2 linked regions of the Daphnia pulex genome follow. The protein of the gene in region 1 interacts with the protein of each later gene in a pairwise test. Links are inferred from orthologs where the notes say so. Each region holds a gene or a part of one and is shown on either strand. Other genes may lie near its edges.

What was found.
Region 2: the proteins of arf-GAP with coiled-coil, ANK repeat and PH domain-containing protein 2-like (region 1) and ras-related protein Rab-35-like interact in a two-hybrid assay, tested with the Caenorhabditis elegans proteins (2 studies listed by BioGRID). The link is inferred for Daphnia pulex from reciprocal best matches to the Caenorhabditis elegans genes cnt-1 and rab-35.

What each region holds. Positions count from the first base shown.
Region 1 is NC_060027.1:578,568-582,869, reverse strand, and holds the start of arf-GAP with coiled-coil, ANK repeat and PH domain-containing protein 2-like, read right to left. Parts: upstream 2,808-4,302; 5' UTR 2,340-2,807; intron 2,273-2,339; 5' UTR 2,174-2,272; coding exon 2,157-2,173; intron 2,083-2,156; coding exon 2,047-2,082; intron 1,981-2,046; coding exon 1,923-1,980; intron 1,860-1,922; coding exon 1,801-1,859; intron 1,733-1,800; coding exon 1,559-1,732; intron 1,484-1,558; coding exon 1,305-1,483; intron 1,191-1,304; coding exon 1,051-1,190; intron 985-1,050; coding exon 889-984; intron 816-888; coding exon 593-815; intron 519-592; coding exon 413-518; intron 344-412; coding exon 137-343; intron 79-136; coding exon 1-78. Other genes in the region: RING-H2 finger protein ATL64-like, read left to right, coding at 3,476-4,150. UniProt on the Caenorhabditis elegans protein: GTPase-activating protein for the ADP ribosylation factor family. Regulates endosome recycling downstream of rab-10 and upstream of arf-6.
Region 2 is NC_060021.1:11,607,438-11,611,311, forward strand, and holds ras-related protein Rab-35-like, read right to left. Parts: upstream 2,448-3,874; 5' UTR 2,367-2,447; exon of another isoform or gene 2,292-2,366; 5' UTR 2,036-2,291; coding exon 1,984-2,035; intron 1,918-1,983; coding exon 1,769-1,917; intron 1,698-1,768; coding exon 1,672-1,697; intron 1,607-1,671; coding exon 1,482-1,606; intron 1,421-1,481; coding exon 1,167-1,420; 3' UTR 1,164-1,166; intron 1,104-1,163; 3' UTR 508-1,103; downstream 1-507.

The DNA.
Region 1 (4,302 bases):
TCTGCTGAACAATCACAACAGCGGTCGTTTCCGGCCACTGCTAAAATGTCCGATAAAATTTTATCTCTACTACTTTCCCTGATTAAAAAAAAAATGATTAAATATTTATACCGCAATTGCAGCCATTTTTAAATACTTGGATGTGTTGGCGCTATCAGTGGTAGAGTGGCTAGAGTTTTGACTGTCTTTAGCATTGCTCCTAGGTGACTCGTTGCTGGCCAGACTCTGCCCCGAACTACTCCGACTGCTCAGCATCAATTGCATGGCCGCACCTATCTCATCTTGGATAGCTTGGATCCATACCTGGAACATCTCTTCGGAATCCGCTTGCAGAACGTGAGACCTGTGCAATGTCATCCGACATTTTGAATAATTAATCAAAGCTGCGAGGTGTCTTGACTGCAAATTTTACTTGGTGGGTGAAATGACTTCAAAGCAATTACGGCGATCAATGTCAACCAACGGTCGGACGGAGCAAAGTTTCAAGTCTTGCTCCATGATTGTGCCTTCTCGGTCACCTGATCAAAGGATATCTATTGATTAAGAGAATACCTGACACAAAAAAATAACGTTAGTGTTATTGCTTGGGTACCTGTCCTTTTCCGGTAAATCAATTGACTGGAGCAAATGGCGAACCACCGTCTATTCCACGTTTTGAATGGACTCGTCGTACGCTTAAACAGATATCCTTCCATACGGGTTCCGTTCAGCGTCTCGGATTTCAACATGGGTACTAAATCCTTTGATGTGACTACACTGTGCCGGTTTCCCAACTCTCTTTCTAGCGCGTTGGTCTCTTCTCGTAACTGCGTCACCTGTAATTAACACGCCAAAGCGTTGCAGGATCAAACCGGTTTTTAAGTACGTGTGGCAAGCGTTAGATCTCACTTCTGATCCAATGTTTTTCATGAACGGATCGGTATCTTGGAAAAGGTCCGATCCTTGGTGAAAGAATGTGCTCTGGGCGTGCATGTAGGAAAGTAACTATGGAACCAATCAACGTTTCAGCTCAGTGCTAATGTCAAAATGAATGCTTAAAAATATTCTTACTGGATCAAGAATTTCATGGCGTTTTTTCGACTGCACTAAACTGATAGTGTACAAATGGTCCAGCGCTGTGTAACGGAAGCAACTACGAGTGGCGATCAACACGTTTGACGTTTCGTCCACTCCACTTGTGGTCATTAAACCTGTTTGACAAATGGTTCGTATTACACTTCATAAACCTATGCCGCTTATTACTCGGTTCCAATAGTTTTTATCAGTAAAAGATAGCGAAAGATAAGGCTACATAGTCTGCATACCCTGGTGTGTGGAGGACAGCGTGCTGGCGGCTAGTACAGTATTCGCCGAGCCAGATGCGGTAACACCTTGGTTCTTGTTGGAATTCTTCGGAGCTTGAGCATGTCGAGCGAGCGCTGTGTCGAGATCGGCCGAGATCTTGTCAAAGTGTTGCCGACTGTCCTTGACTTGTTTCAAATCCCTACAGCAGAGAAATAAAGTGTTGCTTATGATTGCTTTTTATTTACTTTTCTGTTTACGCTGAAGAATAACTCACTTTTTTAGGAAATTATTAAGTGATCTAGAAACCGATCTGCTGGTTTGATCAATCAGAATTGAGTGATATTTGATGGTCTCTTGCAGTGAATTGGCAACTTTATTTAAAGCCTGGGAGACGGCTGGATCTCCTTTGAAATGCAAGCTCACTTGTAACATGCTCTGCACAAGATTACTAGGAAAAGAGAGTTATGGTAAAATCTATAGATTTGATAAAACTAATTCATTTGAAAATCAAATTACTTTTGGAAGCCCAAATAGGTTTTCCCTGCATCAATTGTTAAGTTGCAGTTTTTCAAAACCTGTGAACAATTCAGAATTATTATCAAATGAAATAAAATAGCTAATAACAAGAGGCTACTTGCTTTTTCAAGTTTAATTTCCAGATCATCTAAATTTGCATGATTTTCTTCCAGAGCATCTCTAAAAATAGAAAAATATAGTAGTGATACAGCTTTGTGACTTGTTTAAATATTAAAAACGTTATACCTAAACTTTGGGGAATCCCTCATACACTCTTCATAACTGTAGGATTCAGAAATGCATTCATTAATAAGTAAATTGTTCTACATGTATTAATAGTAATGATAATGACATACGAGATTATGGGTTTCATGTTGATTGAAAGACTGATGAAAGCTCAGATCTCGATGTGGTAAACTGCTATTCTGAGGGTGATGTGGGTTTAGTGATTATGATGATGAAACGTAACAACCTAGAAGTGAAAGCAATATTGAAAACTAAAACTAATCACAATACTAAATATTATAAGAGCAGCTTACCAAAATATTGACTTAAAAGCCAACAGTTTTTCTAACAGATTAAGTAAAAATACTACAGCATAGTTGGCATTACATGTGTGTTGTTTCCCTTGGTGATGTCAAGCTCGATGTTTAGGAATTGAAGAAAAGAACACAACAGTGGGCCATCATTGACAGAGTGAAACTGCAACCAAACAATATCACCGTTCTCCTCCTCCTTCCTACAGGATGACGTATATCCTCTTCTGTGAAATCTTGTGTCGCAATCCAATTCGTTGAGTTGGCACGTAAATAATCGCAGCCGTAGGCTTTTTTTTTTAAAGGCGAGTTCACACAAACAGGCTTGCACTCCCACTCACTAGCAATGGATGACAACTTTTCGACACACAGTATGTCAGTTGGCAAATCTCCTTTTTTTAATTTTTAACGAAAGGAAGGGGAAAAAACGAACGTCAAAACATTAAGGTACTGCTAAACGGCAACTCGACAGTGGCCAATCGACTTGCAGATTAGAAAACGAGTACAAACGGGTGCAGCAGCAGCTCTTCTTATATTCAAAATGGATATTACGTGTTTTGTGAAAGTAAACAAAATGTGGGACATTAACCTACAAACAGGCGTAAAGTAAAACGACTCAACACTGTTTGCAGTGTACAGATAGTACACGCGTAGAAACGACGGTTGAACAAATAATCCCCCTACTACTGTTTGCTGCAGGAGATTCAATATTAAATAGCTAATAGGATTTTACTCTTGACTGCACAAGGAAAATACTGAAAAAAACCCAGTAATTTATGTCCGTTTGTCTCGTCCCAATTCACCTGTGTGTCTTGCATCGTATAAACCGTGACGCATACCAAAGTACACAGACGTGTGCACAATATACGTAGTTTATGGCGCTCGGTGAAACTTATTTACCTGAATTGCGGTTGTTGTCTCAATGAATTATATTTTAAAAGTATTGAAATAAATGCGATTTAATGAGACGCAGCCATTTAAAACCATACAAAACTCGAATTAAAATTATTTGAAATGATATGACAAGAAATAAGCTCGGATGAGGACTTGCAGAGGCAAGTCCGCAGGACTCGGGAGATAAATAGGCGACACGGTTTTTTATCTGTATTGCCTTGATTGTCTATTATCGAAGATTCAACATGTCAAACGATCAATCAAACTCCAGCGACGAGTCGGCCAATGAAAATCTGAATCCCGTTTCCAACATGGAGGATAACGACGAACCGACTGCTCACGTAATAACCGACGATGAATCAGCTGAAATGGCAAATCCCACGTCCAGCCTTTCAACTGACGATCTACCTGACGATCTACCTGCTGTGAATGACCCGACGGTGAATGATGAACCTGCCATTCCCTCCGGAAGTTCCGGTCCCCAACACCAACCGATGAATTACGACCACGGTGAATGCGCCATTTGCATGAGTCCCCAAACGGACAAATCACGACTCGATTGCGGCCACGTCTTTTGTTTCGACTGTCTGGTCAGCTGGTGCCGCGTCAAGTTGGAGTGCCCGACATGCAGGCAACCGTTCAGCCAATTCGTTCACAACATCACTTCGGGATCGTCCCAGGGCGAAGTTTTCACACCCGTCCGTCCTCCCGCACCACCAAGACGGAGAATGGTATTTCGTGCTTTTTCGGTGTACGATGGAAGTCGTTGGGTCACCTTGAACGATGGAAATGGTGGGTTACCCTTGAACGATGAAGCCTTCCACCGATTCATGGTGGCAATGTTATTTCCTGGAATCAATCTGCTCAGTACCGATGATCAGCCCGACCCACCCAACGATCCTTCCAACGACTTGGACTAAACGTTTCGAATCATTTCCCTGACATTTTTACGAGACATTCAATTTCAATATCAATTCATTCGGAAATACAAAATAAAATCAAGTTCTCATTTGTCTTCTTATTTTTAAAACAAAACACATTGACACTAATTGAAACACATTTTGCGGGTATA
Region 2 (3,874 bases), on another chromosome or scaffold:
TAATGTTGACTATACTGATTGAATCAAAAACCCTTATCAGTGTAATTACATTAGTTACGCGTTAGGTTAGGGGCACTATGTTTGTAGTAAGGATCGCATACGATTTTGACAGCTACTACAGCGCACGCTATATTTAGGCTTGAAGTGCCACTCACATTCTTCACTGCCTGACAGGCAATCGCTGACTCTCGAGTAGGTAATAGGAGCATGGTACCGAAAGAAGTTAGCGATCGATACAACTCCCAGACATGGAGGCCGAAAGTGTGTTGGTGTTTGGTTTCCTACGTATAAGAAGGACGACAAAGATAGAGTTATTGTATGAGTGGGTTTGAGTATGAAGGGGCCATAGACCCCCGAAAGAAAAGTATCGATCCGTCCAGTGAGACGTCAGCCGAAACAACCTTCACTCAAGTGTAAATGTACGTGAGGGTATTTTGTATGGTAAGACAGAATTATGGATGGACATCTCGCAGCCAAGGAGGAAAAAAGGAGTCGAAAGTTGCCATGTTAATTTACTTGGAATGCCCATATCAATTTATATTTCAGTCAATGAAGACGAGCGAGTAGGTGGTTATCCCGGTTTCCCCAGGAATAAAACATGTTCAAAACGCATTCCATCAGGGAAAGGAAGAGGAATAGGAAAGAAAAAAAAAATACAGCCCAGTTAAAGAAGATGTTGAAGGAGAGACTACAAAACAGCGACAATTAATCCCAAATGGACTGAAAGCTGTACACGACAATGGAACACACCAAGTTGCAAGGCGGACAAATTGTTGCTTTAATAAATCAGTAACGCAGTAGACACACAATTCAATTAAAAAGAAGATTTAAGAAAGACATTACGAACAAGCAAAATGAAAAAAAAAGGGAAAAAAGAAAACAAGAATTTAAATGAAATCAAATCCGAGAGTAGAGTAGAGGTGGGTAACGGAAGGAAACTAAATTTTCGTGTGTTTTTGGATGCCCCTGTCTCAACGGATATGAAGGGATGGAGTGTCTAGTAGAATTCTGTCGTTTAATCAATGATACAGCGTCACAGCAGGACCCCCTATTTGAGCGTTGGTGCGCCAAGAAACAGGGGAAGAGACGAACTATCCCTGGAGCTAATAAAACTTGATAAATAACTTGGATATGTTGGTGTAGAGGTAAACACAAAATATTACTTTTCAACAGCATTTGCTTTTCTTTGTCGGTTTTCTTCCTTTGCCGACAGTGATTGTGTCGTTCGCGTTGCTGGCCTGCTCCTTTTGTTCTTTTTTCGTGAGTAAAACTTGCTGGGTAATGGCATTAAACATTTCCTCCACATTCTTGTTGTCTTTGGCGCTCGTCTCGAAGAGTTGTATACCCATCTGGCTAGCAAACCTCTGAGCATCTTCAGTTAAGACCACTTTCCTGTCAGGCATATCATCTTTGTTGCCAACTAGATAGAAAAAAAAAAGAGTTAAAAGATTTATCATGTGTTGTTATAACTCTTATTTTACCTAATATTCGGTTGACAACATCACAATTCTGTTCTATTTCATGCAACCACCTTTTTACATTTGCAAAGGATTCTCCACTACTGACGTCATACACTACAATTACACCATGAGTTCCTCTGTAGTACCTGTAAGGGAAAATGTGATAAGTTTTAATGCATCTCAATAAACGAAACTGAATTGTATATATTACGTTGATGTAATGGTTCGAAACCTTTCCTGTAACAAGGGAAAAATAAGAAGATAATTGTAAGTACCATACATATTTAGTTTTTTCAACATGAACATACTTGTCCCGCAGTGTCCCAGATTTGTAATTTGACACGTTCACCATTGAGTAATATGGTCCTAATTTTAAAGTCCACACCTATTGTTGTAATATAGTTTCCAGAAAAGGTGTTGTCTGCAAAACGGAGCAATAGAGAGCTTTTGCCAACACCTAAAACAGCAAAGTAATGTGTTATAAGAATTTCTGTGCTTGGAATGCAATATGGGCTGTATTTACCACTGTCACCAATTATAAGCAATTTGAAGAGATGATCATAATCTCTGGCCATTTTTGATAAGGTAAAACCACAACACACTTATAGTTTTTCAACAAGGCCTGAGTTTAAGGTATTTAAGAAGACACCGGGAGAACCTTATTCAACATTTTTATCAAATAGCTTTTCTTTTAAGGGTGATGATCTGTATGAGCACAACGAGCGCCAAAGTTTCGCCGACCGGTCACACTGAATTACTTGCTCGCGTTGTGTACACAATCGAAAGTGTGTCACCAATTACTTGCGAGAAAATAAATCACTTGATGATGATCTTATCCGAAACAAAAAAAACCGTAACTCGTTACTTTTTCGTACTTGCACCAACGTTAATCGAACATGTACCCACCCCCTTTATCCGTTGTTACTCACTTCACACCAGCCGAAAAAATTGGTACAGGACTATTTCATGGAGAGACGTTGCCAAACCATCCAAAGAAAATTGTCACGCACAAAACCCCTCCCCTCCTTTCCTCTCTACACTTATTCACAGGTGATTAATATGAGCTGTACTACTTTTATTATCTTTGTAATCTGATTCTGATGTGATAGTTTGTTCAAATAAACTGGTCATGCTTGCTTACTACACTGTATGCATCAAATAACAAATTCTAAATGATCAAATAAAACACCGTGCAAGAAAGACTTTGTACTCCCTCTAATAGAGGAAAACTGAAAAGGTCTATAAAAAGGTCAAAGCGCGACCCTTGTTCCGTAATTGTTGGTTTAATACTATAAAATTATTTTAAAAAACGCGAAAAGTAAGCAAACACTTGAATTTGATCAATAAACACGTTGTAGCATCGAAGTTTGGATAAACGGAAAGTCGGAAACATATTAAAAACGGGAGCCGCGCAGGGGATCCGGATACAAGTAATTATTTTCACTAGTAAATATGGTATCAAGCTCTTTCAAAATTTTGTTTTATTGAAATTAAGGACACAAGTATTTTTGTTCTTAAGTAATTATGGACTGTTGTATTTAAAATTTTTAATAATTTGGGCTTTAAGTAATTCATGCAACGTGTATTTAGTCAAATACTCGCTAGTAATTATGGTCACCAGTAATTAAAATTATGTTCACAAATAATAGGTTCTATTAGTACAATTGTTCGTAAGTCACTAGCAACGACTTAAGTAATTATATTCTTAAGTAATTGTTTTCTTAAGAAATTATTTTCTTAAGTAATTATTCTCACAAGTAACTATTTTCTTAAGTAATTATTATCTTATGTATTTACACGGTGTAAACACTTTTATTATTTTGTATTTAGAGAATTAAAGTGAAACGTCATTTATTGATTGCGTTATTGCGTAGGCTCAGGTTGCGTACAAACTTTTACGCGTTTGCAGTTTTAAGAACGCGCCTGGAAATTACATCAACAGTTTCGAGTTGTCTGCTTGTCACTTGTCAGTTTGTTTTTTTCCAAAAGTCAGACAAGAGTTAATTGCTGGTTAATTGAGGCTCAAAAGTCAAAATAGGCGTTGTTTGTGAAAAATATTTTGTCTTTGGTAACATATTTTCTTTCTTTATAAGTAAATGTAAGTTAACATTTGTGTAAAAATGTTTGTTTATTCTGTCTATTTATTAAGAATCAAATTGTTACACCAGTTAAAGGAAACAGGAGTTTATCATCAGAAGAGATTAAGCATTATCATTCATCAGTACTACAACCAGGTGGTATTGGATGTCAAATGAATTTTAGAATGCTTCCCTCCAGGTAGCAATAATATTTCTTTTATGTATATTTTCTATTCTTAAAATTTCGTTATCCGCCTAGGTATTAATGAAAATATTCAAGCAGACCTCAAAGTAAAAGTCACAGAGCTGATAATAAGAGTTCTGATAGCAAATGAA